Pelodiscus sinensis: one gene and its partner. The protein of the gene in region 2 binds, or shares a complex with, the protein of the main gene of each other region. Links are inferred from orthologs where the notes say so. Each region holds a gene or a part of one and is shown on either strand. Other genes may lie near its edges. The genes, in order: EPAS1 and EGLN1.

Region 1 (16,285 bases), about 41 Mb from region 2:
TACCTCTGAGGGTACTCAGATGTCTGCTAGGAGGCAGCATCAAGCTCATATAGATGGGGGAAAGGAGAAGGCTGCTGCAGTGGCAGAGTCCCGGACCCCTTTCAGTCACTGCTGGAGCACTGTGCGGTGCACTCTGGGCAGCACTAAGTGCTGAAGAGGGGGAAGGGCCCCACATTCTGGGCAGCACGGAGGGCTGTCTGGGGACCAGCATGGTGCACTCCGAGCAGCACTGAGGACTAGTTGCACTTGACCCTGCCCCTTCCACCCTCTGTTCCGCTCCTTCCAGGCGCTCAAAGCCACTGTATCTCCCCCCTTTCCCTGGAGCCCATGGAGGCTGTCAGTTCCCCTGGCACTATCCAAATCAGTACAAATTAAAATGTCATATAGTGAATTATTTATACTGCTACACTACACTGAAATGTAAGTACAATATTTATGTTCTAATTTATTTATTTTATCATATGATAAAAATGAGAATTCAACCAATTTTTCAGTAATAGTGTGCTATGACACTTGCATATTTCTATGTCTGATTTTATATACGAGCGGTTTTTAAGCAAGTATCTTGGGGGAATGCAAAACAGATCAGATTATTGAAAGAGGTACAGAAAATTGGAAAGGTTGAAAGCTATTGTCTTACAACATGTTAACTCTCATGATAAACCTGTTCCACTTTAGATATAACTGTGACACTTGGGTGTCTCTATAGTGCAATAAAATACTTGTGACATGCCCACCTTAGCAATAGGGGCTGTAAAACTGCAGCAGATGGTCGGGTTTGGGCTGGAGCTCAGGATCCGAGATCCAGTGAGTGGGGAGGGTGCCAGAACCCAGGATCCAGCCTAACACCAAACACACCATCACAGCCCTGTGAGTCTGAGTCAGCTGACATAGCCTAGCCCCAATGTTATATTACAGTGTAGAGTAAACATACCCTTTGAGTACCTTTCCCAGACTTGAAGAGCTCTGTGTGAGCTTGAAAAGAGATATAACCTCACCCACCTTTCCATGATAGCATTTACAATGTAAAATAATATACCCTACTGTGCCTCATTGGCCATCAATATCTTCACTGTGATATTCACAACAAGAAAGGGGGTGAAATGAATCAGCATGAAATTTCTTTTCTCCGCGAGGTTGTTTTTTTCATGTCTTGTAGCAAGATGCATAAATGTAAAGAAAGCAATTATAATGAGTTTCAGCCTAGACTGGAGCTTGAGCATTGTTTTTCCAACCATATGTTTGGAAACACTACAACTGAGCAAGAGGTATAATTCTATGGTCACATTTGAAATATGAATGGCAATTCATTATACAACTTCTTTTCATTCCTTGCAAATCAGGCTACTATGCTAGTAACAAAAAGCCCAATCCTTCAATGCTTACTCATACAAATACTATAATTCTGTTGATTTCAATGGAACTACCCACATGAGTAAGATCTCCTTCCATGAATACAGGTTGTAGTAACTGGTTCTACATTAGTTGAATTTCAAAGGCAATACTCGGGGGGAGGGGATGTTCCTTGCCTCTCTGCATAGGTTGTAAAACTCTTTAAAGGTAGGGAAATAAAATTTTGTTCACTGGAAGCTTGTAATTATTTTTAGATAATTCAAATGTTGACGTTTAGAAGAAGTACTTAAAAACACAGGCTATGTCTAGACTACAGAGTTTTGTTGGAAAAACAAAACTTGAACCTGTTTTTCTGACAAATTTGAGTTACATCTCAACTGTAAGCGCGTTCTTTCAACAGTAAATCGAAAGAAGAGGGCTTTTTGTGCCATTGGTAATCCTCATTCTACGAGGAAGAAGCCTCTTTGTGAAAGAGCTCTTTCGCAAAAAGGCGTTTGTGGACGGGAAAGAGGGAGTTTTTTCAGAAGAAGAGGGAAGAGGAAAAATCACAGGTGCCCTGGTGTCCATTTTGTCCATAGCAATCACTGCTTACATGCGAGATAGTTTCCAGCCAGTGTGGAAAAAAGCACGTAGCTTTTTCAATGCACTTTTGCAGTGTGGACACTCTCTTGCACAAGACGTTTTTTAGAAAATCTCTTCTGAAAAAAGCTTCTTGCGCACTAAGCTTGTAGTCTAGATGTAGCCACAGAGTTTCACAGTGCCCAGCAAACCTTGTTCTGAAATTTATATATTTGAATGTTTAAGTGTAAGAATGCTGCACTGTAAAATTAGATGTGTGGTAGAATGCAAGAAGAAAGATTCAGTAGATTTACAGTAAGGTAGGTCCCTAAATATAATGAATCTCATAATAACAGAATTCCAGTACTCAGGCCCTTCATACTATCCAAATAGGGTGAATATATGATAACTGAAGATAAGAACAGGTTACTAGAAAATGCAGTATTATTTAACAGAAAATCAGTATGTAGTACTCCACTCAAAGATGCCATTCAACTTGTATAAAATCCAAATATTTGTGAGTGGAATGAAAGGTGACAGAGGAACTGAAATCCACCCTTGTACTTCAATGCATGTGCCACTGAAGTCCATGGAAATCGGTTTTTAACAATTGGATTAGTTCTTTTGTGAGTAAGGATGTGTAAGCTTCTGTTGATGGTAATGCTCTTAGTACCAATCTTTCTCCGATTAAAGTAAATGAAAATTCTCATTCACCTTGGTTATGCAAAATCAGTCCTTTGAGGCAACAGGTCAATGGGAGTTGAGGCACAAAGTATCTCAAAAGAGTTTCTTAGCATCTAGAAGTACCAAGCTTTAAATATTAACAAAAGCATTCATAGCCATAACTAAACAGGGATATTTAAGCATCAGATGTTTGGTCTTTTAGTCAATTTTTTTACACTCCTGTCCCCTCTCTCCCAGCATCACACAGCATCTATAAATTTGCCCAGCTTACAAAAAAAATTGGTCTGACTTCAGTATAACGTCATTAACAATCACCAGGAAACTTTTCTGGTGACATAGATCATGAAATAATCTTACAAAAGTTCACTTAAAAATCACTGCAGTCATATTCTCACTCAGTAGTGAAACATACATATTTCTCATCGTATGAGTTCATTTTCTTGACTGGAAAGTCTCTAATAGATTTTTTTCCAGCAATATGTGTTCTGAATGAATTTATCAGGAAACACCAAACAAGCATTAACAATGGTAGCAAAACAGCAACATTGACAGTGTTTGCACTCATTTGCTTTACGCTGAAGACTCTTCCACATGGAACACTAAATCTTATGTTCTTGATAGACACAGAACAAAGTCGTCTTGACCCTGCAATGTTTCTTGAATTAAAAAAAAGGAATTATAAGAAAATAACCAATTGCAAACAAAAAAAAATCATGATTAAATAAAAAAACAAAGACATTTCAAATAGCTGAAAAAGAAGCTGTCAGAATACTGAAATATCATTTGAGAAAAACCTTTATGATCAGTTTGCATATGATCATGTTTGGAATATGAAGATTAAACGTATACAGTATTGATTACTCTAAGTTTATATAATCTTACAAACAAAATTTATTTTATTCTTTTAATGATTTTTTTAAATTAGTATTCTAAGAAGTATTTAAATTTTTGTTTAAGAATATAAAATGCCTATAAAGAAGTTTGCTGCTGATTAATTTAAAGTAGTGAGTCTATTCATTTTCCATCAGTTTGTGGTAGATTATTCGGATCAGATTTTTAGACATTATAATTCAGTGCGACAACATGACTGTTTTATATAAAATGTTACTCAGATCTCTTTCACCTGTCCTGAAATTCCCTTGTGAGAATCTGAGAATGATCTTTGATTTGAATGGAGCACAATGTAAAATGTCATGGATTATCTTTCATGGACTGCCTCTGAATTATGATGACAGAACTGTTCCTCAAGGCTCATGACTCAAGACTTGCATGGAAGTCCTACAAAACAGATTTTTATTACCATCATCATTTTTCCTCAGTAAAATTGATTATAAATTGTGCTAGTAAATGACCTAAGTTAGAGTTTCCAGCTATATATCTGAGTAGAAATCAAGTTAATACCGCAATAACTGACGAGCTAAAGGCAATAAATCATTATTATAAAAATGACAAATGTAAATAAAATATTTTCAGTTTCAGTTAGCTATGCAAACATTAAAAGCTCACCTTTATTAATACAGCCTATGAGAGAGTTAAATATTATTAACCCAATTCTGAGAGAAGGAAATTGGCACAGGAATGTCAAGTGATTTACTTAAGGGCCAGTAATATTAAAACTCAGAACTTAAGCATAGCCAGTAGATTAGAACTGAGATCACCTTACATTTCCATTTTGTGCTTTATCGAAAGTTTCTAAGGCACTTTAGATAAACAAACGCAAAGAGAGAAAAGAAGAAAATTCAGAAAGCCTCCAGAGCCAGCAGTGGTTTCATCTTCTACCCACAAGCCTTAAACCTGCACACCCTGTGGCAAGGACCACTCCTTAAGAAATGAACTTTTTAGCCATTCATTCTAAGTGCTGCAGGATGACAAAGAGTAACTGAACTACTTTGACAGTTACACTGTTGTCATGATTCAGTTGCCATTGATGGGCACAGTCCACACTACAAAACACCCATGGTTGGCCCCTGAGCTTCAGACTTGAGCTGCAGGAATGTAAAACTTCAGTGTAGAAATTTGGGGGTCTGTCTCCAGCTGAGTCCAAACATTTACACTGCAATATTACAGTACCACAATTGCAGTGTAGTCACATTGTATGATCTGGTCAGCTTCAAATTATTCTGAGCATTAGACAGTGCTCATATATAGTTTAGGTGTTTTAGGTGGGGGGAGGGGGTTCTGTTAAAGCTGTCTTTCATTAAAATTGATTTTTTAGTCTGAAAATTATGTTTATTAAACATACTATATAATTTTATAAATGCACCTTACTGTATGAATTTTTTTCATTCTTTTCTTCAAAACAGATTTGAGGCTACATAATATTATCCCGTACTTCATTCTTTGCATAGAGAGTTAACTAACATTTAGAACAAATACAGAGGTAAGTGATTAAAATGATTTAACCCTAATAAATTAATGTCTCATATGCTGATGTTTTAAAAAATACAATTTACCCAAAACCTCAGCGGGGTAGCCGAGTTAGTCTGTAACAGGAAAAACTTAAAAAACAACAAATAATCTTTAAGGTTCCACTTGACTAACAAAATATGTAGAAGGTATCATGAGCTTTCGTGGGCAAAACCCACTCTCTTCAGACCCTGTAACCCTATACTCCGGTCATCTGAAGAAGTGGGTTTTGCCCATGAAAGCTCATGATACCATCTACATGTTTTGTTAGTCTTTAAGGTGCTACTAGACTATTTGCTGTTTTTTAAGTTTTTCAATTTACCTAAAGTTATCCTATCTCTCATAGTGTATCTCAGTCCATTCATAGTGTAGCTCAGTCAATGATTTAGAACTAGCGCACAAATTAAAATAGAAATATTAAATACAATTTGTAAAAGCTTAGCATATATCAGTAAATGAAACTACTATATATGAAGATATTTCCTTCGTAAAGTACAGCTTTTATTTATATGTCTGTATTCAATGACAAAAGCCAATCTTGCAAACACTGATAGTATAAAATAGCTTAAATATCTCAACACAGAGGTCAAGCATGCAATTTGTAATTATTTGGACAGTATTTACTCATGCAAGTACTCTCGTTGATTTCATGAGTTAATTGTCTGCGGGAGTTTTGGACTATAGTTCATGACTTCTTTCCTTTTGTTTCCACCAAAAACTTTGTATGAAGATTCAGTAGGGAAATTATTCTGAGTCGTAATTACGGAGGTTGAATACCTTGATTTCTGTTTTCTTTGGATATATGTATTTACTAAGATACAATTCAATCCCTACTTTACATCCCTTCTTGCAACAAAAATAAACATAAGAGTAAGATATACCCACCTAGCCCATAACTGTGCTCAAAACACTTCCAGAGCCCTCAACTCTTAAGTAAAACAAATGACAGTTTAAAAAAGACTCCATGTCCTTCACATCTAATATTACATTCTAGTATTTCATCAGATCCTCAAAATTATGATGCTGCCTTATAGACCCCTCAATAGGTTGAAATTTATCAGCAATATGCAATAAATAAATGTTAACATAGTTTTCATGTTGTCCATGTAATTGTAATTATTTGTTTTGTTTAATTATTTCCCTCTAAAACACCATCTTCACCTGAAATATAATAACCTAACTGACATTAAAGATAATAAATCTTCATGTAAATTGCATTTGCCTAATCCCCTACTAATAAACTAACTGAGAATTGGCAAGACTGGAGAACTAGTATACAGACCACAGTCAACAACGAGTATGTGCATGATTTGAATTTCAAATGACCAGCTATGGGAGCAGTTATGTATTTCCAATTATACTGTACATTCTTCTTTGTATGAGGATGATTGATTCCCCACCAGAAAACAAAGCTTTCCCATTTTGTAGAAGTTAGGGTTCTTTCCAAGGGAGAAGAAAGTGGGAGTAAATATAACAGAGGTGAGGGAAGAGCCTTCGCCTATGGGTGTCAGAGACCTCTTCAATACAGCCGACCAGAAAAGAGAGACCTGAATGTTTCCCAGTGCATCTCTTCAGAGCGCCGCTTCCAGGACACTCACTTCCAATGCAACTGAAGTGCAGACTCTCAAAACAAGAAAGAGTCTGACTCCACTAGGAGCTCAACTCCCTCGAACAGCAGCTGCCGCAGAGACTAGTCGGCGTTCCAGTCAATGCTTGGGCTAAATGTTAGATTAGATTTAAACCGACGTCACAAAAACGGAGAGTTGCACTTTTTGCCTATACACCGGATTCACAACAACTAGACTAAGTAACTGACATTAGCCGACGGCCCCTGCGCTAGCCGAAAGTCCACAGGGAAGATAACACACGGTATTTTGATACACTGAGACGGTGGATGGGGCTGGATTAACGTGGAATCTACTCTGGTATCGAGCATACCCAGCGGACACTTAAGTGGGGAAGCGGCGGCGGCGGGGTTTCTATAGTGTGTAGGCTGCATGTTTCCTTGAAGCTCCCATGGGCGCATGAGGGAACAGGACTGGATCCACACTACTGCATAGGCTACGTTTCCCTATCATGTATATGACATCACCAGGAGCTTCTGAAACCACCTATTTGGGATCACTCCTTCGTGCTGGGGAATTCCTTCTGCCCTAGTCAGCCCCCTGCTGTGTGAACCCCCGCTATGTTGCGTGTAACCCTTCCCCTCCCGGCTCTTCTCGAACTCCAGTCACCTTTGCGAGAGCCACCACAGACTGGGAAAGGAAGGAGCTGGGCTCCTCCACATTTGCTAAAAAGTCTTATGTGTGTCGCTGGGAGCGGTTTTCGGTGTGGGAAAGTGATCTGCGCTGTTTCGTCGAAGTGACCTCTGCCCCCGCGTCTGCGGCGATCAGCCAAGACAATTCACTGCGAAGAGACATTTTTTCCTGCCGCTACTCCTCTCGAGGCCCGATCCCGCAGGCAGGCAGCGGAATGCCCTGCCGTGAACTTCAAGAGAAGGCGGCTCGGGCTCCTCACGACAGTAGCTGCTGCGGGATCCCCAAGCGCCCGCTTGCAGCCCCAGCCGCTAGGGCCTGGAGCGAATGCAACAGCCTCACACTCGGAGAAGCAATAGAAGTCACCCAGGTGTCCTTGGGATGATGGTAATTTAGCGGAGTCCCACTAACCATGCACCCCCCGGGCACCACTGCTGCAGTGACAGTTCCCATTTTAATTGCACCTTCGTATCCCCTCCCCCGACTCTGTCCGCCCCCAGTCTCCCCTCCCGCTTACCTTTTCTTTTCCTTGTCAGCGGTCATTATCGCTGCCCTTCGTGCTGCTTAAACCAACTCGGGCTGCCAACGAGGGCTCCTCAGTCACTGCTGCGAGTCTCCTATTGCCTCCCCCCGACAGAAAACCGCCCGGCAGCTTAGAGATCACAGGCTTGGGAGCAGGAAGAGAGGCGCCGGGAGGGCTCGCCGAGCTGACAGCAAGGCTGGTGCACTAATTGTCCTCTAGGAAAAGGCTGCGGCTGTCCTGGCCAGGTCGCCCCTGAGCTGACCATACAGTCTCAGGACACTGCCGAGGATTGTACAGCCTGCCCAGGGGGGGAAGGGGAAGGGAGAGACCGGGTTCGCCCTGGAATCTGAAGCTCTGCCAGAAGAAAGTTCTCACTTTAAAACTTAAAGCTTCCCTGGGCTCCTGGGGGCAGGTTCAGCCTCTTTAGCCCAGTCACCCACTCCAGCTGGAGCTGTCGGCAGCTCGTTCTCCAATGGGGACGGGAGCTGCAGGAGCCCTCCTCCTGCCCCGCCCCGCCCCCGGCCACCACGGCTCCAGCAGCACTTGCCGAGACCAGGTCAACGCCGCGAGGGGCTGCGGGCGCCTGGGCGGGTGCAGGCCAGCAGGAGAACCCCGAAGAGCGCGGGGGAGGAGGCGGCGCCCCAGCCTCGGGGCTGCAGTGGCACGTTCTGCCCGGCGGGCCGCGGGAAGTTGGGAGTCTCTCCTGGCGCTGTAGGACTCGCAATAGCTCTGCCCACGCTGGGGAGAAGGGGCTGGGAGCAATTCCCTCCCCTCGGCAGCCCCTGCTCCCGGGCCCGGGGGCCGGATTTCTCCCTCTCGCCCCCCTCCCCCTCTTTGCCTTGTGGCCGCAGCGAGCTGGGTGCTCCCCGGGCCCGCCAGCGCTTTCCCAGCAAAGCAGCGCGGGGAGACGGGGCGAGATGGCCGGGAATGGCAGGGGAAAGTGGCCGCCGGGAGCACCTGTCAGGCCTGGCTGGTCAGGCAGAAACGTGACTGGGGCTGTAAACATTGGCTTTTGGATGGCTTAATGGCCCAGGTTTCTTCCCCCCCTCCCCCCCGCCGCTGCTTTCCTCCCTCCTCCGCGTTTCTGTGGGAGGGCGGGTGTATTTTGTATTAATGGCGTTTCTGGATGCACTTGGTCAAGAGGAGTCATCCTTCAGACACGAAAATCAAGCCGCAAGCCTCATTTGTGAATGGATGCAGGAGATGCCTCTCTCTTCCACCTTTAGCTGACTGGTTGGATAAGGCTTCTCCTCAGACCAGGAGCCTGCTGAGGTGATGATGCCTCTCTTTGGGAACAGCTATCTTGAGGAAGAGCCACCAAGGCATTCGGTGGAAGTTAGAGCTACACAGGCTCCTGAGCCTTTGATATTAAGATTAAGACATTAGATACTATGATGATGTGGGGTCATAGTTAAGTGATTGCTTGCCTTACCCCTAAGTGTGCTTGGTAAAATGAAGTCTTGTCCCGACTCCTCACTCCCAGCCTACAGAACTTGAAATCCAGGACTTTCTCACAAAGTATTGCTCTGGTTGGATTTATGCCGCATACAAAAAGCTAATGCTCTAAGCACTTTCATAAAATGCATCTGTCATATCAATAGCCACAAATCCAGTAGCTATTCCTCAAGCTCAAAACCCAAATTACTCAACCACAGGTTGATTAAAAAAATACCCTTCTCACAACTAATTCCCGGTGCTCATGATACCATCCACATTTTTCATTAGTCTCTAAGGTGTTGCAAGACTATTAGTTTAAGTTTTTCCAGTTACAGACTAACACAGCTACCCCTCTGAAACTTTTAAACCGCAGTGCTCAGTTAAGCTTCTAAATACTAGAAGTGCTCAAAATAAGGAAGGTAAAGGCAACTTGCTCCAATGGAGAGCACATCTGTACATAAGTGCACAGTAGAGGATACCATAGATGCTGGAACTAGGGGTGTATGAGGTGCTGCCATACTGTCCATAGTTATCATATACATGGTTTACAGTTTGATGTAATGGCTGTCAGCACCCACACTGTAAAAATTGTTTCACATCCTGGTGAATACTGGAGCATAAAACTGCAAGGCCCTCATTTTACTGATTTTCCTTTCTTTGGGCTTCTACATTTTGTTTCTTTCTTCTCTTTTTTTAAAAAGCCATTGTATATTTATTGACTTGTTCAAATAAAAACAGCAATAAACTTTAAAATTAAGCTTGCTGATATTGTCTTCTTGGGAAATAAAGTACTAAGGCTTATCTCTGGTGAACTTCTTTGGAATATTTTACCTTGTTTTCAGAATTAATTGTACAAACTCTGCTGTGTCAAACAAATTCGTTCCTTGTACCACAACCTATTTAATTATTTTAGTTTAATTGCATTCATAGTCTCTACATTTGTCAGTAGAATTTTTTGTTAAGACAACTAAAACCCAAAACATTTTTTCCTCAGAATAAGTCACTAGTTTTCCTACACTTCAAACTAATGGAAGCAATTTAGCATTTTGCCTGTAAAAACGATTTCTCTATTATTTAAATTTTAGCAGTCTCCTCCTGCCATATTCATATGCCACTTCAAGAAAGTTTGGCCAGAGAAGTATTTTTTTATGGAATATGTGTTTCCCTATTAGTAATAAATTCTGCTTTCATCTGAGGAGCGTTACCTGCACTTGTATAACAGCAATATGATTAGATGGTAACAGTTTCTTATACAACAGAATCTACACAAAAGAAAAGCACAAATATTTAAAACCTAAGTAAACTTGGTTAAACAGAATTTGTTTAGCCTTCAAGTGACTGAAGAATGCAGTAGGATCAAAGAACCAGTCATTCATTCTCTAGATTAAGTTGAGATCTTAGTCCTTCACTGATTTTTGTTGATGTCACTACTACTCTCTGTATCTGAAGATTCTTTACCTGGCTAAACAACTTGATTTGAGTCAGACAAGCAAAGAATTTAAAATGGTTGTATTTCAGATGCACAGTAAAATTCAGATATTTCAGGTCTTGCCCATTGGCCTAGTCCTAGTGACACTGTTCTAGATGCCACATTTATTGTTCTTTTGACTAGCAGGGGTTGAAAGTACAGGTGCAGCAACAAACTGCTCAACTGTGACTCCCCAACGTGACTTAGAAATGCTGATGGACTCCAAAATATACCCTATCTTCATGGTAGTGATGATGTTGCATTATCACAGAGATAAGGAAAAACAAAGGATTTTCAGGGTTGTCAGCCATGCGTAAATTCTCAGAATCAACAGGGAGATCCTGGCATCATGGAAATTTTGCCACTAATTCCAGAGGCAGCAGGATTTCAGCAATAATTTCCTATAAAATGGTTCTCAGGGTGCCAAAAATGACAGTATAAACAATTAGTTCTCAATACTGGCAAATGAAAGAGGGAACAGATGCTCCACATTTGATGAGATTGTTCCAATTTTCAGCAAACCCAAACAGTCAACTGTCGTAGGAGCCAAATATACTTTTCAGCACTGCTTATACGATTCACAATGGGAAAGTAAGGCACTCTTCAGTACACGTATATAAAGCAGTAAATTTCCACCAGACAAAATCCTTGCTGGAGGCTGGAATTTAGATCCAGAAATACGAAATTTTATTCACGATGCCTCGTTACTCTTTTATATTTTTGGCATTATTAGAAGTTTAAAAGGCCACATTTGCTAACAGCAATATCTAAAAAGATACCATTTCCCTGAACTTAAAATAGGAAATACTGCCATATTTCAAGTGTACCACTGACTGTTTTACGCAACAACCACAGTTGCTGTGTAGAAATTAAGAAATGTGGTATGCCGTGCAACAACGTGCAGCAATAAAACAAAAAGACCAAATATTAAAAACATATAAAAGTCAGAAGAACCAATGTTTTGGTTCGGTAATAGCAGCTGGACCTTTTTGCATAGATGGCATTTGCATTACTCTATAAGCTTTTATGATGTCACATATAGGTGCAGTATAGTCAGATTAGGAGTAGCTGGATCAACGGCTGGGGAAACATCCAGGAGAGAGGATCTTCCATAAAGTGACCTTTGTGGAGCTTTGTCAGTGCACTCTCTTTAAACAGACAGCAAATAATAGCCTGCTGTGTAGATGCGGACTCATCTTTTCTTTCTCTCCCCCTTGCCCAACCCACCCTGTGGCTGGAAGCACTTTGTCCCTTCAAAGGGTATGTCTGCATAGCAGTGTTATTTCAGAATACCTGACATTATTCCGAAATAACATAGTCCCAAATCTACGCAGCATGCCACTATTTTGACATAATATGAAAATAATGTCTAGCTGGAGGACTTATTACTCCAACTCCTGTAACCCTCATTTTACGAAGAGTAAGGGAAGTCAGAGGAAAAGTGCTCTTTCTCGGACTTCCTGCTGCATAGACAAGTGCCAAAAGCCAAAATAAACTACGTACCTCAAGTTGCGTAGCTTATTTCAGCTTTAGCCCTGCTGTGAAAATGTTATAAAAAGGGGTGGAAGAGTTGAAATAAATGGCATACTGAAATAAAAAGAAAGCCATGGAAGTCTAACTTGTTTTTAAACAATCCACAATGAAATAGACAAATTTGAAATTCCTATGGGTTCCTAGATACTAGTTAATCCCAGCATACCAAAGTAAGGTAAATACATACTTTGAGAACACAATTTTATGTAACCAGTCTAATCAATGTATGCAATGTGTTTATTTTAACAAACTAGTCTCTGAAATACATTTTATTTACAGCATTCCAGAGATAATACATGCTAACACAGTGTATGTATTTGCTTAAAATGCTATGGAAAGTCATATCTACACATTATTTTCAAACATGTAATGATTCTGGGCCACTACTATAGAATGTTGAAGCCCCGATCCTTGAAGGTATTTTGCCTCCTAACTCTATAGAAGTTAGAAACCCAAGTATTTTTGAGGATTTTGTCCTAGTGCCCCCATGGAGAGCTCAGCACCCACAATTTCCACAAAGTAAGTGAGGTTTTAGGACACACAGTGCTTTGTAAGATGAGCCCCTTCAGCCTCTTCTTAAAAAAAAAGTTCTAAACCACAGTTTTTTAAAAAACATATCCACTGCACATTTTTCACATGGGCTTACATCCATGAAAAGCTTGTTTTGGCTTGTTTATTTGTGTTTGTTTGTTTGTTTGTTTTTAAAGACATTTGCATTAGTCAAGTTCCAAACCATGTAGAAAACTTCTCAATGTCTTAAAATGAATTGTGAATCACAACTTTACTGCCAGGAGCACCAGGGCTGTGCCCTGAAATCCCCACACATGCTTTCATTTTTAATTTAACTGATTCTGAGTGGCTTAGGGAGATGAATGCTTCTTGGATTAATTTATTTTTGTCCCCCCATGCATGCCTTTTCTCACCTCATCACTATCAAACAATGCAACACTGTATCACAACATAATGTTGACATCTGAAGTGCCAACCATAACCCAATGAGCTTTTCTCTGTTTTTACTGCTTGTGGCAAAGACAAGTTTTTGATTAGGTTTTATCCCGTTAGCTCTGCAGAGCCAATTCCTTGAGAGCAAGTGGGAGGCAGCATGGCACAGAGGTAGGCCTGAGATTTGGACTACCTGACTTCTATGCTTTGTCCACATGTTCAAGTTCTCCCAGTGGTCTAGGAAAGCCACCTCTATGAGAGGAGTATATAAGGCTATGTCCAGACAACAGGCTTCTTTCAAAATAAGGGTTTTTTGGAAGAGATCTTCTGAAAAAACTTCTTTTGAAAGAGTGTGTCCATACACAAAAGCACATTGAAAAAGCGATCTGCTTTTTCGAAAGAAAGCATCAAGACTGATTGGATACTATCTTGCATAAAAGGCCACCCAGAACCAATTCAGGCAGGGCATTAGGTCAGCAGTTGCTTTCAGGTGCTGTTGCCTAAGGCTATCTGAGATGCGTGCTTAAAGAGACCCCCCTAGACAGCAGCTTCTCTGCTTCTGCTGCATGCTTGCCAACCTCTCTGAGGGACAGTAAAGCTTTTGCAGTGCCTGCTTTGGTTGCCCAACTTTTTGACACCTCTGGGCATGCAATGGCCCCATGTTACCGTGCTGCAGGTTCTACAGAAGTTTGTGCAGACCGTCTTGACAGTCTTGCCCCACCCAGCTCGACGCCAGGCTCATTTGAGAGTCCCTCTACCTGTATGCAGGAGCAAGGCCCTTGCACCCGCACCCCAGCGTAGAGAGATGGTCATGCACTTGAAGATCTCGGTGTTGCGGTGCTTGGATCTGAGGTCCTGAAATGTCTCCTCCTCACCCCACAGCTCCAGGTGGGACAGGATCTCTGCTCAGGACCAGGAGGGTGCCTGACTCTTGGTCCCCTGGGCTGGGTCTTTGGACCCCTGGGACTGCTTCCTGCAAGAACCAGAGGGGGGCTTGTGGCTCCATCGTGGGTGGCAAGGCCTATGACAGGGAGAGCCGCGTGGTCAGGGTGCTGCTTTCAGTCTGGCTTCCTGCCACAAGGCTTGTCCAGGGTGCCTGCAGCTTTACGACCTGGCAGGAGACAGGAACTATAGAGTTGTGATTAGTATGGACAGAGTGTCCACCAGGGCACCTGTGTTATTTCCTGGAGGCCTCTTCTTTTGAAAGAAAACCCTACTCCCCATCCACACATGCCTTTTTCCAAAAGAGCTCTTTCGGAAAAGGCATTCTTCCTTGTAGAAAGAGGAGTACCGCTGTCAGAAAACCCCCTCTGTTCTTTCAATTTACTTTTGAAAGAACGTGATGGCAGTGTGGATAACTCAAGTTTTGTTGGAAAGATGGCCATTTTTCTGACAAAACTCTGTAGTGTAGACATACCCTAACAGCGCTGGGAGCCTTTTTACACTAATGTGTTACAGCAATGTAACTTGCCGCACTCGGAGTGGGGGGACAACTCATACCTTTGAGATGAAAAGTTACAGAGCATTTACTTGCCAGTTTAGACAAACCCCTAGTGCCACCTCTGCCACTGGCCTGCTGGGTGTCTATATCAGTTCACGTCCCTGTGCCACAGTTTCCCCATTTATAATGGAGGATAATGATACTAACATCCTTTGAGATCTAAAATTCAAGATCTATTCTTTTCTGGCTCATGGCACAATTAACTGAGGTATAGCTGCAGAATATTTATTATTGGTGATAAAGAAAAAGCAAAGCTCATACTTTAGATCCCATGTTTAGTTAGGAGGGTTGGCAGCTAATTAAGACAGTCTTTATAAATTGGGCAAGCCTGATATGAAATTCAGTGACACAGATACGGGATGCCATTTTGACCATCATGTTTCAGACTATGGGTCAAACTTTCAGCTGGCATAGATCAGCATCACTCCACTGAGTTCTCTGCACATTCTATAAACTACTCTAAGAAAATCTTTTAAATTGGCCGACTTCTGTAGTTTTCATAGAAACAGAGCGCCTGTTGAAAGCACTCCACAATCAAGCATGAAAATAGTATTTCAGAGGAGTGGTGTTTTTTTTTTTTTTTTGAAACTTCAAGATACTGAACACACACCTTCAAGACATTTTTTAACAGATAAGCTCAGTCATTTTGAGGCATTGATTACTTACAGGCACATTCCTGACGTTTCAGCCATCACACACCCTTGAGAAAGGCCTAATGGCCAAAATGCTGGGAATGTACCTGTAGATATTAAAAGGCTTAAAATTACTGAGCTTATCGCTTCACCTTTTTTGGAAGGTGTATCCTTAGTCTATGATGAACAATTCACAATATTACAATGGCTCACTTCAATAATGCATACTGACGATGTTTTATTGCTAGAAGAAAGATAAAGTATTTAAACTTGCCACCAACAGTCTCATATAACTAGTTGCTTCTTCTGTGATAATCAACAATTTGTCTTTTAGAAGTTCATTGCATTGGGATCTATTTAAAAAGAAAAGTGGTGACTAATGAATATTGAAACAATCCCCACAAGGTTTTGGCAAAGCTTATCTGCTAGAAGACGAGAAATTGGAACAGCATGTATGAAATTTACATATTTTATTGAAAGAAGGGTTTATTCTCCTTTTTTCCTCCAGTTTATTATCTAGCTGTTTTTCACCTTACTGGCTAGCATTATCTGAGGGTATGTCTACACTACAGAGGTTTTTTTGAGAAAAATGGCTGTTTTTCCGAAAAAACTTCAATTACATCCACACTGCAATCGCGTTCTTTCAAAAGAAAATCGAAAGAACAGAGGGGTTTTTCTGACATTGGTAAACCTCTTTCTATGAGGAAGAAGCCTTTTTCCAAAACAGTTCTTTCAGAAAAAGTTGTGTGTGGACGGGGAAGAGAGAGTTGTTTCACAAGAAGAGAAAAGAGGAAAAAGCGCAAGTGCCCTGGTGGCCATTCCGCCCATAGTAATCACAGCTTACATGCGAGATCCATTCAGTATGGATGCTATCTTTTGAAAAAGCAGATCGCTTTTTCGATGTGCTTTGGCAGTGTGGACGCTCTCTTTTGGAAGAAGTTTTTTTTCAGAAGATCTCTTCCAGAAAAGCTTCTTCTGAAAGAAGCCTGCAGT
Region 2 (16,275 bases):
AGATGTCTAAACATCAAGGCTAGAATCAGAAAAAAATACCAATAATCTGCTGAGAGAGAAGTGTGTGCATTACAAGTATATTTATGCTTTTTTACCAATATAAAAAATATCTTCACTATTGAAGAGACAATTCCTGAAGACCAACTTTCAGATTTATATTTCAAAATTTTGCACACAAAAATCTTATTAGGGACATCACTTAGAGCACTTGTGCTAAGCAGTTCTGCTGTGGGACTATACTGCACCAGACCTTGTGGTAAAACTGAATAAACTTTAAAAACAACAAATGGTCTGGTAGCACTTTATAGACTAACTCGGCTACCCCCTGAAGCTGGTAAAACTGAGGCACTCTTTCTTACAGAGCAAAGCCCAACTATAAAAATCATTCTACTCCATAATATTTCATGCTAATTTACCTACAATTTTATTGAAATACTGTGTTATTAATATTAAACAATCTTCTTTTAGGGTCTCCATACACCCAAACTAAACAATCCAGTATATCACAGACACAAAAAATAATTTAATAAAAGTCTGAAAGGCAAGATTGCTTGTTACAAGGACAGTGGCAAGTTTTACTTAATACAACAAAAAACATGGAAGCTATAGCACAGCACAGAGCATTATACCAGATACTTACGTATGTCGGGGCTTATATGAACCTGGATCAATAGGCCTAGGTCTAATATAGAAGAAGTGTGATTAGTGTGCCACTGTTCATTTACAAAAAAGAAAAACAGTTTCTGGTAGTAAAAACTCCTACACTTTTGGTGTAAGCACTGTTCAAAAGAGGTCTTGAAACTGACTGGACTACACAGCCAAAACTAAGCTTGTTAACCAGAGACCAAAATGAAAGGTGTCCCACCAGCAAAGCCAAATGGCAATAACCCAATATGATCCCCCACTCTTTACCCCTGTGATCTGCTAAGATTCTTAACGCACTGCAATTCCCTTAAATCTGGGACACAAAGAAGGGGGGGAGGGGAGGAAAGAAAATTCATTTTTCGCAACACTTGTTATGCAACAGTTATATAATAAATGTGGAGCCTTCTTTCCCTCCCTCCTATCCAGCAGCCAGTAGTTAGAATTGTGTAAGAAGTCTCTACTCTACCCTCTCTTGCCCACTACATTTTGGGTTCTCATCTGACATGAAAAGTATTCAATTACACTGCCCCTTTTCCATAACTGGTCCCCCATTTTTGTTCACGTATCATCATCCTCACACCTTCGTCCTCTTTGTCTCTGTCCTCTCTCTCGTGTTGGTTTCATCTCCATTATCTCTCTCCCCAGAACTGTACTACTCAATCAAGTGATCCTGATTAGTTTCACTATGCTACTCTTGCCATACAGAGAAAGCGCTCTAAATGAGTGACAAGTGCAATTCTGTATGGTTGGTGGAGGCTGATGTAGGAAAAAAAAAAATTAGTTTTCACAGCACTCCTAATCTGTTAGCTGTGGGAGTAAGTGAACAAACTTGGTTCCAAAACACACACTAGACCAAATACTTTGGCAATTTTAACCTTTGAGACTTTTCCCTCTTCTTTCCATGTGTCTTTCCCCCTAAACCACTCATGGGACAGATTTTTGTCAATTCACTGACTTCCACTTGGTCTCCGCTGAAGTTGCTTAGGACTGCATTCACTGCAGCAGCAAAAGCATTCACTTCTTATCAGGAGAGTAAAGGAAAAAGAGCAAAGAGAAGAGAAACATCTCTCTAACCCAGCAATGGAAAACCTAGGCTAGCAAATGGGCCGCTCCATCTCAATGGGCTGTTGTAACCAAGACAGTTTCCCGGGATAGAGTAGTTTTGCTAATGGTGCTTGCATACAGAGAATTTGCGGGGTGTACAGATTGGACCATAGCAGTACTTCGATTGTATACAGAAGGACCTCCTGGCTCTCAGAGTGAGTGCTATGCACAATCGGCACACACCTCACTTCACATGCTCCTGTTTCAAGTGCATGACACTTCAGTAATACCTGTAGGAAACATAACATGGACAGCAATCAACAGAAACTGGCAACCCTGCATGTGAGCAATGGAAAACAAAATGTTTTGTGGGCCATACATAAAACAGTAGTGGGCTATTTGTGGTGCTCTAAGCTCTTTCTCTTGGAGTGATCTTGTCCATAACACAACCCCAGCGATTTCAGAAAGTACAGACCAGCGATGGACAACCAAGAGCCACAAGCGGGCTGCATGAATGGCCCTCCATCTCAGTGGGCTGCAGCAGCCCACTAGGATCCAATCTGCAGCCAGCAGACCTCTGTCTAGGGATGTTAGCGAGTAGTCGACCACCTGATAAGCATAAGCTTGTCAGGTAGTTGAGTGGAGTATTGACTGACTGTTCCTTCCCTTTCTGCCTTTTGAGAGGCAGCAAGGTAGGGGGAGGACAGGAGCTGGTGCTAGGGGAGAGCCGGCTTAAAAGCCGGTTCTCCCAGCACCATCTCCAGGGTGCTGCCCACAACAGCCTCTACCCATAGGGATCCCAACAGGGAGCTGCCCCCACCCCAGACAGGGTCTGCTGTCACCAAGAACCCTCTGTTCACAGCAGACAGGGCTGGCTGCCACCAACAGGGTCTGCTGGACCCAGTGCAAGCCAGGACCAAGCAGTCCCAGCTCATGCTGGTCTGGGACACTGCGCCTCTGCATTTTAAATGTAGTAAGAGCTCAGAGCCACTGCACGGGTGGCTCCAGGGGCCATCTTGAGCCAGAACTTCTCAGTTCCTGCTCAAGCTGGCTCCTGGAGCTACTCCTGCTGAAGCTCCGCAAAGCGGTTATCGACTAATCATTTAGTCAAATTGTATTGACTCCACAATTAGTCAGGTAACCACAATTTAACATTCTTAATGGCTACCCTGAGACTTTTCAATTAGCAAAGTGGCTTCCTCAGTGCAGGTGTAGCCACCTCTGAAGTACCAGCTACTGTCCACTGTCAGAAGCTGGTAGGAAAACAGACTAGATGAAAAGTTTTAGAGGGGTAGCCGAGTTAGTCTGTAACTGGAAAAAACTTAAAAAAAATGATTAATAGTCTTGCAGCACCTTAAAGATGAACAAAACATGTAGATGGTATCATGAGCTTTCGTGGGCACAGCCCACTTCTTCAGATGACCTAATGGTTTGATGCTGTATGGCAACTTTAAATCCTAGCCTTGCTATTTACAAACACGTTACTCATCTACTGTAAGGTGCGGGTCTGAACAACAAAGAGGCAAAAGCCATGAAAAAAATGCAAGGATTCCCATTCAAAAGTACTGCTCCCATTTTAAATCTAACAATGAGACAAATTTTAGGAGACTTTTGTTATATTCACTTTGAGATTTTTTTTTTGAGTTGAACAATCACTTGATGGACGAATTGGCTAACAAATCCCATGCTGCAGAGTTATACAAGAAACTTACACAATGATAGTATGTCAGCTAGCCAATTGCAACATAATAGCTTTACAAATTAAATGTCAGGACACCAACCTACACAAACAAAATAGTAGACACTTTCCATGGACAGGGAAATCTAATTTGCTACGGAGAAGTAGTCTAGGGGCTGGGTTCTTCCCCCCTTCCAGTTTCTCCCTCTCCTCCATAGCTTATTAGCTGATGCTCTGCAGCAACAAGTCTGTCAGAATACAACACACACAGATTGCTTCAGGCCAATTTCACAAGCCAAATACACAGGGAAACATTGGAACTTAACTGCATTTACAAGTTTGGGACCCCATCACATAGGTATGAATAAAGACATTATCTGGCTAGCACACTACCTTCCACATCCTAATGACTTAACCAACCAAACAATGGGTACTGGAACAATTTGACCTTCTCCATCAGCTTCATGTAACATGAACACTTCAATTTGCTATTCGCCCCCCCTCTCTTTTTTCCCTCCTCATCCCCCCATCTCTTCTTTATTTTGGAACTGGACTTTTAATACTCCATTCATCTGAAGAAGTGGGCTGTACCCACAAAAGCTTATGATATGATCTACACGTTTTGTTAGTCTTTAAAGTGCTGCAAGACTATTAGTCTGTAGCTGGAAAAACTTAAGACGAACTCTGCTACCCCCTGATGCTTCTTAGCAGTTCACCCTAACATTCTTGTTCTTCAAAGGAAGCAGCAAGTTGTCAGATTTGTTGTAACGTCATTTTCACTTTCTTGCAAATGTTTAAAATGGTTGATATTATTTCTTTTAACTAGTCCTCTACTAAACTTAAGATGCCCTATGCAGTCTCTCTACCCCTCCCCCCATTTAAGAACCCAAAGAAAACAGTTGAAAGGATGACTGACATAAAACTTGGAATTTGATAAGAGGACTAGTGTCTCAGCCAAAAACGACCCCTCTCTCCCCCACAAAAAAAACAAAAATCAAGGAAACCATGGAGGTACTCATTTTTGGCAAAACTAGCGGAGAAAACATCAGTTACAACTTTCTTCTCCTCAAGGCTTACATTTTACAGTAGGCTATATAAACAGCACTGCCCGATAAGATTATAACTTCACTACAGGTCAAGTTAACACACACCCACACCTGAATACTTTTTCCATTTCGTTATATTCCTAAGTGCACCAGATATTGTAATATGACATAATATAGTCACTCTAAGTCTCATCCAGCAGTTTTATGCAACCATCTAAGAGCACTTCCTGTATTACCACCCCAAGGTAGCTCATGGTAATTTAAACAGACTATTATACATGCTAAAACCCTCATTACTAAGAGTGTGTTCATAAGCAAACACCAAGTAAATAATGCTAGAAATATTTGTAACAAGAATTACTATTTCAGAATATATAAACAGAAGCAATCATGAGAAACTGATGTAATATTTTGTAGCATGAAATCTCCAAACTGGTCATATTACTTAAGGGGAGCACTACAGACAATGCATCACATTCCAAATTTTTAGGGGCCATCAGTTCAAACAGAAGTTAAAAGGAGGATCATTTTTGCCTTTGTATAGAGTGCAAGTTTTCACAACAGATACCCTATAAGTTCAGAATTATATTTTATAGGCAGGAAAAAGACCTCAAGGTCAGCCACCTAAACTAAGCACAGGAAATATAACTGCATCATTTTCAAAAACTATATATTTACTGTAACAAATGCCACAGAACTACTCATTTTCCCACATGTACAACACGAGCTTTCTGTCACAAAACAAAAAACTGTCCTGCCCATAAGAGAATAGAGAAGTGGAAAATTTAGAACCAACAGCAAGTGCTGTAGCAACCTTGACATTTATGTATAATTACAGACATGCCTTATCTCTCTCATGTGAGGATAGAGCATTATTTGAAGCTCAATTTCTGAACAAGGATTGTGCCATACGAGTTCAGACATTTAATAAAGTATTACAGTTTTCCATGTGAGAGGTCTCATTTATGAAAGCATGCTCACTGACTGTCCTAAAGATGGAAAGCTTCAGAGGGGTAGCGGAGTTAATCTGTAACAGGAAAAACTTCAAGTGTCTAGTAGCACCTTAAAGACTAACAAAACATGTAGATGGTATCATGAGCTTTCTGGGAAAACCCCACTTCTTCCGGTTTTGCCCATGAAAGCTCATGATACTCTCTACATGTTGTGTTAGTTTTTAAGGTGCTACTAGTGTATTTGTTGGTTTTAAAGTTTTTCCTAAAGATGGAAGTCAGTCACAAAACACACACAGAACTGACAGCAGCAATAACTCTTGTATTCAGTGTAGTTTTAGTCACCTGGGCTGCAGGATGTTATACAAAGTGAGTGAGGTAATACTTTTTTGGGGGTCCCAGTTCTGAAAAAGAATTCTGTAGCTCAAAAGCTTGTCTTTCATCAACAGAAGTTGGTCCAATAAAAGATATTACCTCACTCATCAGCAATACACATTACCCCACCCTGACCTTTAGGGACAACCCTTTAGGAAAGAGGAGCTATTCAGTTTCCAGGACTACTCAATCCTTGGACCCTGCCAAGCCTATTTTACCAAGATTACACTTACAAAGATAATTTTACAGGGTTCTAAACGGAATTAGAGAACACAACAATTAAAGCACCTAGGATCCTGGTCCCTGCAATCTCACACTTGCTATTTCCAGCAGAGTTTCTTTGGTGCTGCACAGTGACAAAGTTGACTAAGATATTCAATATTGACAAAGTTCACTCTCCCAAAGTTGACTAAGATATTCAATATCGGCATCAGTGGCAGCTCGCCCCTCAGTGGTGTTTCTCCCAAGAGCCAACAGACTAAACAATTGTATTTTTCATCTCTAACTTGAGTTGCCCCTTCAGTGTGTGACAGAAGGGCTGTGTGAAGAGAGGATCTAACACGTTGGCCAGGCCACTGCTTGGTCTTGCAGGAGCGACTAGAAAGGTGGACTGCGCACAGGAGGAAGAGATGGGCAGGAAAAAAGCAAAGTGCGGGGGAGCTTGGGCTCGGGCTAGTGACCAAGCCGCAGGTGTGAACGAGGGACGTGGGGGGAAAAAGGGTCACTCACTTTCGTCCTGCCGTTGATTTTGTAGTTGCCCAGCTTGCCATTGCAGTGGCGGATGAGATCGTCCATGCTGTTCATGAGGAGCCCGATGGTCTGGCAGCAGGGCTCCTTGCCCTCCACCCAGGTGATCTTGTCCCCGCGGATGTCCTTGGAGGAGTCGCTCTTCTGGCTGACCAGCTGCCCATCGGTGAAGCGGCCAGTGTGGTGCAGGGCCCGCACCTCCCGGGCGATGCGCCCGCCCACCTCCTTGCCCAGGAACTCGTCCACCACGCAGATGCCGTGCTTGTTCATGCAGGGCACGATGTACTCCAGCGCCAGCCGCTGCGGCACCAGCGACTTGGTCTGCCCGTTCGGCCGCAGCGCGCCCCCGCCGACCTGGCCCCCGCCCGGGTACAGGTTGGATTTGTCCCGGTACACGAGCCCCGCCTCCCCCGCCGGAGCCGCAGCCTCCTCCTCGGCGGGGGCCGCCGCCTCAGACAGCGCAGCCGCTGCCGCGGGAACGTGGTTGTTGGTCAGCGGCGCCGCAGCCACAGCCTCTCCCTCCGCGCCGGGGCCCGAGCCCGGCGGCACCTTTTGAGCCGCGGCCCCCTCCTCCCTGCCGCCGCCTGCTCCCGCCGCAGCCCTGGCGAGCGGCTGGAGGCCGGCGCGGTGCTCGGCAGCGCCCCCTCCCGCCGCCGCGCCGCCACCGCTGCGGCAGACGAGCTTGTGCTTCTTCCAGTCCTGGCGCTGGTGCTCCTTGCTGCAGTAGAAGGAGCTGCGGCAGCGGCCGCAGCGCAGCAGGTTCTCCATCTTCCCGCACAGCTCGCAGTACTGCCGGTCCCGCTCGCTGCCGCCGCCGCCGCCGCCGCCGCCCTGGCCGGCCCCGCCGCTGTCATTAGCCATGGCGGCGCCGCCGCCGCTGCCCCTGCTGCTCCGGCGATCGCGTGGGGGCAGCAGCGCTCAGGCGGGTCCCGCCGGCCGCGCTGGGAGGGAGGCTGCGAGGCAGGGCGGGCAGCTTTCACTGCATCATGGCCGCCCCCGTCCCTGCTCCGCGGCGGCCTCCGCTCCCCTGCCCACCTCCCGCGACAGAGCCCGGGCCTCCTCCTGGGCGGGGAGCGGGCACCCGCCGGAGCCCAGGCCGCTCTGCTCTCCCCGGCGGCTCAGGCTCGCCACCGCCTCATCGCTGCCCCGGCGAGGGAAGCAGCTGGGAGCGCCGGGACTGGCGCTTCTCCCCTGCGCGCCTGGAACTGGGGGGTCTCCTCCTCTTCCCGGTGCGGGTCAGCGTCTCCTCCTTCGCCTCGCCACTGCCTGACTCGGGGGGAGGGTGCGGGGGCGAGGAGGAGGCGCCACTATCTCTGCCCGCTTTGCACGTACGCCACTTCCAGCCAGCTAGCGCGGCCGGGGCGGGGCCGCGGAGGAAGGGGGAGTGCGGGCCAGCTCAGCATTGCTGCAGCGTTGGGGGTGGGGCTGGGACGCTCCTCCCTTTCCTGCGGGGAGGTTTTAGTTCCTCCGCCACCTAAAAGGCCGTGATTTGTTTGCATTAGGGCACATGGGGTGGGTTTCCCCCCTTACCCGCTTTAAGCCTCCCTGGCAGAATAGGAGTCGACTGACCCTCCTTTGCTCTCTCTCTCGAGTCCAGTTAGAGCTAGGCCAAACCAAAACCTTGGGCTCAACTAGTAGCCACATTTTACAGAATTCCATTCTGGCCCCCAGGGACTTTACTTCTCTGTGCTTTGAACTGTTGCCTGATACATGAACGACACATTTGTATCTAATAGCAGCCATGTGCTCAGTACTGCACAAACATAAGAAGGGGGTGTGTCTGGTATATAGTTGGACAGTTGACATACGTCCTAAATTCTGCCACTGATCTACTGACTGGCCTTGGGCAAGTCACTTAAAGGGAAACGGATCTTGAATTCACACTGCTGTCTGAAAATTATTTCGTTAATTCTTTACTTATAAGGCAAAAATTTTTGGTGAGAGGGGCCACTCCAAGATTTTGGAAAGTGGTCAAGGCCCTCACTCTTCCATGCTATTAATAGAGGAGGTGTGGTGTCTGAGATGGAGGTTGAGGGAAGGAGGCAGTTGTGACCTAGGGCAGGGGATTAGGGTGCAGGGTCTGGGACAGGGTATGGGTTCAGGAAAGAGACAGAGGGTTTGCCTTATATGAGGTGTGGGGTAGAGGGTTGGGAGGGGGTAGAGGGTTGGGAGGGGGGAGGGATTGGGGTGCCAGAGGCAGGCTCTGGCAGGGAGACTTACATGGGTGACTCCCAGCCAGCAGCCCAGCAGGTTTCTCTGCCTGCCTGCAAACCACTCCCACTAACATGCTTCAGGGGCCATGTGCATTGGTGAATAAGAGCCTGAGGGGAGAGGGAAATGGTGCTTCCCACACTGCCTGTTTTAAGCAGCTAGTTCCCAGTGGCCAGAAATCAGCCAATGGGATTGTGCTGAAGGCGAGAGCAGAGCAGCGCATGAAGCAACACTTTTCCCTCTTCCCCCTCCCACCCCCCACTTCCTGACTCACAGTTGAGAAAGAGAAACGGCTGTGCCAGCCTTTTCTGAGTGGTATGGGGGTGCATGTGGGGCAAGCACGGAGTCTGCCTGAGGCTCTCTGCTGTGTCTGTGGGCCGGATCCAGTGGCCAGGTGGGCACAGATCCGGCTGTATTTTGCCCAGGCCTGTTATAAGGTCTACAGTTAATACAATAGAAAGGTTAGCAAATTGTACATTTGAAAACACTTTCTGCATAGTCAATTACCCTATGGTTTCTCATGTACATAGTTTCCTCTGTTTGGTTATTTATTCATTTATTTTGGATGGTGGGGAGGGGGTGTTTCGCAGAGTAAAAGGGGAGAGGAAAACCCTCTTCCCCCCCCCAAAAAAGAAAAACAGTTGGATTGTTAAACAACATCTAGGAAGAGATACAAATTATTTAAAAAAAAAACAATTACAAATGTTTGGCTTCCCTTTAATTTCTTGATGTTTCAGTAGCCTCCTCTATAAAGGGGGTCAGTATTATTTACCCACATTAGTAAAGTGCACCAGGTTCCTCCACTGAAAAGTGTGATACTGAAGTACAAAATATTATAAAATGACAGACAAAAAAGGACAAGAGTTAGACGCAGCAGCCCCAGATGTTTTGAGATAGGGAGAGCAACTCAAAGACATTTGCATTCTGGGCTTTAGTGATAGGTTGATTCCTAGTGGTGTTACTGGAAGTGGAGAGAACAAATCAGGTAGTTAGTTTTTGCCATTTCAAGCTGATGGTGTGAAAGCCAAAAGATGTTAGCTAAATGTACCATGCTGTATCTATGGTTGGAGATAGATCAGCCAAGGTGGCTAGGTAGCCTAGGACTTACAAGACTTGGGTTTGAGTCCCAGATCTGTTAATGACCGTAAGCAAATAATTTAGGGTGGCATTCACAAAGAGATTTAGGACCTAAGGACCACTGATTTCAATGGCAGTTAGGTGTATAAATACCTTGGTGAATCCCACTTTTAGCCTCCCTATCTTAAAAGTACTTAAGTACTATTAAGAAGATAATTGTACTTCCCTATTAAAGAAGTGCTGTGAGGATTAAGATTGTGAGGCAGTCAGATACTATGATAGTGCAGGCTGTTGTAGTACCTGATAGGAGAGGTATCTTTGAGAGTTATTGGCACAGAAATGGTGGTTAGTAGAATGTGAACAGATAGAGTCACTGAGGCCAGATCTACACTAGGGGCTCGTCTACACTGGCCCCTTTTCCGGAAGGGGCATGTAAATTTCACTAGTCGTCGTAGGGAAATCCCCGGGGGATTTAAATATCCCCCGCGGCATTTAAATAAAAATGTCCGCCGCTTTTTTCCGGCTTTTAAAAAAGCCGGAAAAGAGCGTCTAGACTGGCCCCGATCCTCCGGAAAAAGTGCCCTTTTCCGGAGGGTCTTATTCCTACTTCAAAGTAGACGCTCTTTTCCGGCTTTTTTTTTTATTTAAATGCCGCGGGGGATATTTAAATCCCCCGCGGATTTCCCTACGACGACTAGTGAAATTTACATGCCCCTTCCGGAAAAGGGGCCAGTGTAGACGTAGCCTAGGAGTTTAGGTCAGTTTTCTATACAGTGAGTCCACACCAGCAAGCCCATTCCATTGTTCAGAGCAACATGCAGTGTCCAGACTGCCTTCGTCCTCTACCCTGGACTGACTCTGCAGAAGATCTTGAACAAGCCTTTACACCACAGGAAGTAGCAAGTAGATAAACCAACAACAAAAACATAGCTCCAGGAAATGATGGTATTCTCTACAACCTCCTGAAAAAAAAATCATAGACTCTGATTGGTATTAACTGCCATTTTCAACAGATGCAAGTAGTTCCTGGTTTCAACAGATGCAAGTAGTTCAATATGTCAATACTCTCAGCTCCTGGAAAAAGACCATGATGGTGCTTGTCTACAAGAAAGGTGAGCGAGATGACCCCTGCAATTGGAGCAATCTCTCTGCTTCACTATATACGAGCTGCCTTGCAGCTAGTGAGTGGAGAAGCCATCAACTCCATATAGAAGGGCTTCATGTCATGTGGAGACTGCTACAAGCACAATTTTATCCTTCAGACTGCCATGGAAGGAGAGACTCCGGAAATTCCCATTTGTAGTGGCATGAAGCAAGTCTGTCCCCGCAGTCCCATTATCTTCAGTTTAGCCATGGAGCTACTCATCCAAGCCACCTCCAGCAGTCTAGGTAGTTTAGACCAATATGTGAACAAAGTGAACATCTTGGCCTATACAGATGATCTGGTCCTTATCACAGACTAACCAGAGAGCCTCCACCTAATATTGGATGTCATCAGCGCAGCAGCCAATTGGATGAGCCTCTATTTCAGCACTAGTAACTGTGCATCTATGTACGTAGATAGCAGCATCAGGGACTTGGCTTACACAATGAAGTTCCAGATCCAGGGTGAATCCATGGTTTTGCTTGAGGACAGGCAAGAGTACCAGCATCTCGGCATGCCCTCAGGTTTTTGTGTCCAGCAGACACCCGAAGACGCCATCACAGAGATCCTGTACAATGAAGCCAGCATTGATTCCTCCCTTTTGGCATCACAGCAAAGGATCAATGCCTGGGGCACCTTCCTGATTTCCCGTATTTCATTCATCCTGAGGGCATTTACCATGGTGAAGGTACCCCTCAACAAGGCAGACAATCCCATCAAAGAACTGAGAAGTGGATGTTTCTTCCTTACAGGCCCAGCAATGACATGGTGTACATCTGTCACAGGCAGGAAGGCACCAACGTCCCTCAAATGGGTGACCTGTGTAATGTTACTGTGATCACACATGCTTTCCACCTCTGGACATGTGCAGACACCACCGTAAAGAGCATTGCAGAGAGTGCCATGCGAGATGCTGACAGGAAGCAAATCACCAGGGCTCCACAGAATCAACCCAAGATGTCTCCACCTACTTGAGTGTCTCCTTGGAGGGAGAATTTTGCAGAGATGGGGAAGCCTTTGCTTCACTCTGGACTCACACTTACAATGCTACATGATGCCGGGAGAAGCGAATCAGTTGCCCCTGGATGTGATTCAAAGAATGCTAGGAGCTGGGAGTTCTAGTGCCACAGGTGAAGAAGATGAAGCACTCCATCATCACTTTGGCAGCACCATGCTAGAGAGGACTTCAGAGGATACCATTTGCTACCATTATGCTGAAAACCTGAAATGGACGCCAGACCAGGGCAAGGCCTTCGAGTTGATATGCAAGTGGGACACCACATTCTCCCCAAAGGCAGCTGCACCCAATTTGCAGACTGGCAGGTCATCCATTGGGCTCAGCTCAACCGTGTTTCACTGAATAGAGCACTCCCCCACAGGAATGAGGACACTCCAGAGCCTGACAGCTGCGACACAATGCCATCCAGGATTGCCTTGTCAGGGCTATCCCGCCAACTCTGGGGAAGGTTTCTGTGAACTTCGCCATCCCTTGAAGAGACAGACAGCTGTGGTCAGACATCATCATCACAGGAAGAAGATCATCGTAGTGTATGTCACAGTGCCCTTCAAGAATAGGACCCCGGTCTTTTGCAATGTTCCATCTCAAAAACTGGAGAAGTATGTCCCTCCGGCTAACATCCTGAGAGATAGGGGCTATGAGGTTCAAACCCATGCATTGATCATTGGAGAACTTAGCACATGAGCAAGTACTGAGGGCATGTGGAGTTGGACATTGTTACACTTGGCTAATGCAGCAACTCATGGTATCAGATGTCATCAGGTGGTCGAGAGACATCTACATAGAACATATCACTGGACATTGGAAAAATCATGAGAGATGAAGAGGAGTGCCCACAAGAATCACCATTGGGAAGGTAACTCAAATACTTCCGTGATGGATTGTATTTTCCAATGGATAGTCTACCCTAAATTCTGAATTACTAAAGGTCAATCTCCACTCATTAATATCTTCGCTTTCCCCAATCAACACTCTATAAAACTTTCCATGAGTGATATACCACTTATTCAGTTCAAATATCTAAACTGTATTGTTAAATTTATGCACCTATATTTGGATTATTGCAGATTCTGTATTTTATGAATTATACGATTTTAAGCAAAACTTTTATCTATTGATAATTCAAGCATGACACCCAGATGTACAGAATCTCTTTTTCTTTAACCTATGTAAACTTTTTTAAACATTAGCTTTATTACATTTTTTTAAATCTTGGGGAAATACAAACAAAAAATCAAAACACAAGTAAACAATTTGTAGGGCAGGGTTTTTTAGCATGAACTTAATGCAAGATAATTTTTGTAGCCCTTCACCTTCTAATGTAATGGGGTCATTAGAAATACCTACCACAGGTAAGCTATTGGAACAGATTTCTCTTTTCAGGGTCTAGTAATAATAAGTTAGCATTTATACAGTGATTTATACATTTAACACTATGAAGATGCTATAAAATACTGCTAGATATAGAAACTATATAGCAGGGCTACTCAACTTTGGAAGCCACGGGGGCCACAGTGATACTCTCAGCACATGCCGAGGGCCACAACTTAAGTGTGGTTGCATATATATGCAAATATTTATGCAAATAGCTTCTTTCACACTGACGGGCATGAATACAAAGCACTTCCCACAATGCCCCGGCACTGCCAGCACCTCCTCCCGGCGGGCTAGAAATGCCAACACCCTGTACCCGTCTATTCCTGCCAGCCTATCCGCTTGCGTCTTTCAATGCTCATCTCACCTCACTGATGTTGAGCATGTTCCCAGTGGAGGCCATCTTCAAAGGATCCCACATGCCGGTCACATGTTGTGCTCCATGTAAACCCAAACCGCCCCATGGGCTGCCTGTTGAGTAGCCCTGCGTTATAGGCATCCAGAGTTCAAAGCCTCTGGGAGATAGATCAATAAGTGTTATCCCTATTTCATAGATGAAGAAGTGGAGACAAAAGGTTGGCGTCTCCCCAAGAGTCCAATTTCCTCCTCCTCAGTAGGGGTTTCCTTCTGGGTGTGTCTAGACTACATGCCTCCGTCGACGGAGGCATGTAGATTAGCCAGACCGGCAGAGGGAAATGAAGCCGCGATTAAAATAATCGCGGCTTCATTTAAATTTAAATGGCTGCCCCGCTCTGCCGATCTGCTGTTTGTCGGCAGATCGGGGCAGTCTGGACGCGACGCGCCGACAAAGAAGCCTTTCTTGATCGGCACAGGTATGCCTCGTGAAACCAGGTTTACCTGTGCCGATCAAGAAAGGCTTCTTTGTCGGCGCGTCGCGTCCAGACTGCCCCGATCTGCCGACAAACAGCTGATCGGCAGAGCGGGGCAGCCATTTAAATTTAAATGAAGCCACGATTATTTGAATCACGGCTTCATTTCCCTCTGCCGATCTGGCTAATCTACATGCCTCCGTCGACGGAGACATGTAGTTTAGACGTACCCTCTGGTTCTCCCCCTTTGTGCCAGGGATAGGGTTTGGAGGCTTGCCTTCTCCTGTGGTGCTATCCCACCGCCGGGCTGGAACACACAAAATCTACTAGGTTAGGCCCCCCTAGGTTCTGGTGTGCAAAGGGATTGTAGGGAGTGTCTTTCTCCTTCTCAGTCAGGGACCACATCCCTGAGGGGTTTTGGGGGGTTATTTTTTCACTTGTGTGTGGCCCCCAACTGATTTTTCTGTGGATCAATGGCACCCAACCCTAAAAAGGTTCTCCACTCCTGTCCTAAAGTAATGGCTCTTACTCATGAAGATCCAGTCCAGAACCATATTCTTAAATCTCATAATTTCATCAATGCAACCTACTTCCAGGACCTGCTCAGGCTTGTCCGCTCTCTCTCTCTCTCTCTCTCTCTCTCTTTGGAATTACATCTGATGAGTTGGCCATTATCAACCAAGAACCACAGGACACCCAGGAGAGAATCACATTTGTAAGGGACAGCATGTATGTTCCCACCAGGACCTCCAAGAGCAGTGACTCTTCAACTGTGCCATGACACCACCCTGGTAGGACAATTTGGGCAACAAAAAAGAGGACAATTAATGTCCTGGGACTTCTGGTGGCCTTTTATGCATTCCACAATAAAGACCTTTTTCACTTCCTGCCAGGTGTGTGCCCGAACCAAGATTCCATGACAGATATCCTACAGTCTCCACCAATTTCTAAACACTCTATCTCATCCCTACACGGACAGCTCCTTGGTCTTTATGGTGGACCTATCAGAATCCTCACAGGGAAAACTGCCCAGTTCTGGATAAATCATGTGGTCCATCTTCATGGCTTTCTAGATCACATCACTTACAACTAGGGACACCAGTTTACTGCCTACATCTATTAGGATTCCAGGCACACCTGTCCTCTGCCTACCATCTTCAGTCAAATGGCCACATGGAAAGAATCAATTGATCCTAGAACAGTATTTATGGACATACACTAACCATCACCAGGACAGTTGGTCTTCACAGTTACCACAAACACAGTTCTCATATATTAATGCATCCATTCTTTGTCAACTATAGGTACCATTCTTCCCCAGTTTCACCCACAACTACCCAATGTCCTTCCCCCAACCCATTGGTCTCAGATGTAGTATAGCACATCCAAGAGGAGGTGAAGGGATACCCTGAAAAGGCAAAGGGGGACTATAAAAAGCATGCAGTTAGACAACAAGGCCCCATCTACATGGTAGGACAAAATATATAGCTTTCTACAGAACACTGCCACATGACAGATCTTCTTGGATACTAGGTTACCAGTTCCTTGGACCACGCCAGAATCAGCGACAAATCAACCTGGTCACCTTTGAGCTCTAGGTCCCTTGATCCCTTAGGCTATGTCCACACAGCAGCATTATTTCAGAATAACATCATTTATTCCAAAATAACATAGTGTGTGTCTACACAGCAAGCCCATTATTTTGAAATAAATTCAAAATAACGGACTTCTTACTCCGACTTCTGTAAACCTCATTGTATGAGGAGTAAGGGAAGTCAGGGGAAGAGTGCTCTATTTTGAAATAACTGCTGTGTAAACAGCAACAAAACTTGAAATAAGCTATTTAGATGTAAGTTACGCAATTAGCATAGCTCAAGTTGCATAGCTTTTTTTGAGTTTAGCCCTGTTGTATAGACATGCCCTTAGAGTCCAACCCCTAGTCTATGTCTCAATTCTAAAACCCTATGCTGAGAACACATTTCCTCATAAAGTCCAATCACTATCATTACCAGTGCAAGTACAAGGTCTGAATGAATATATTATCCAAAAAGTCCTCAATTCTAAGATCAAGCAGGACAAGTTACAGTACCTAGTTGACTGGGAAGGTTGTGGTCCAGGATAATACACTTTGGAGCC

The links.
Region 1: the proteins of EGLN1 (region 2) and EPAS1 are in contact, whole or in part, in a crystal structure (PDB 7Q5X), measured with the Homo sapiens proteins. The link is inferred for Pelodiscus sinensis from reciprocal best matches to the Homo sapiens genes EGLN1 and EPAS1. Residues at the interface, in NP_071334.1 of Homo sapiens: Gln239, Leu240, Val241, Ser242, Lys244, Ile251, Arg252, Trp258, Asp277, Ile280, Arg281, Ile292, Asn293, Gly294, Arg295, Thr296, Lys297, Tyr310, Val311, Arg312, His313, Val314, Asp315, Pro317, Asn318, Asp320, Arg322, Arg370, Trp389, Tyr390; in NP_001421.2 of Homo sapiens: Asp525, Leu526, Glu527, Thr528, Leu529, Ala530, Pro531, Tyr532, Ile533, Pro534, Met535, Asp536, Gly537, Glu538, Asp539, Phe540, Gln541, Leu542.

The regions. Positions count from the first base shown.
Region 1 is NC_134713.1:164,508,393-164,524,677, forward strand, and holds the start of EPAS1 (endothelial PAS domain-containing protein 1), read right to left. Parts: upstream 8,220-16,285; 5' UTR 7,800-8,219; coding exon 7,774-7,799; intron 1-7,773.
Region 2 is NC_134713.1:123,943,667-123,959,941, forward strand, and holds the start of EGLN1 (egl nine homolog 1), read right to left. Parts: upstream 7,876-16,275; 5' UTR 7,347-7,875; coding exon 6,468-7,346; intron 1-6,467. UniProt on the Homo sapiens protein: Cellular oxygen sensor that catalyzes, under normoxic conditions, the post-translational formation of 4-hydroxyproline in hypoxia-inducible factor (HIF) alpha proteins.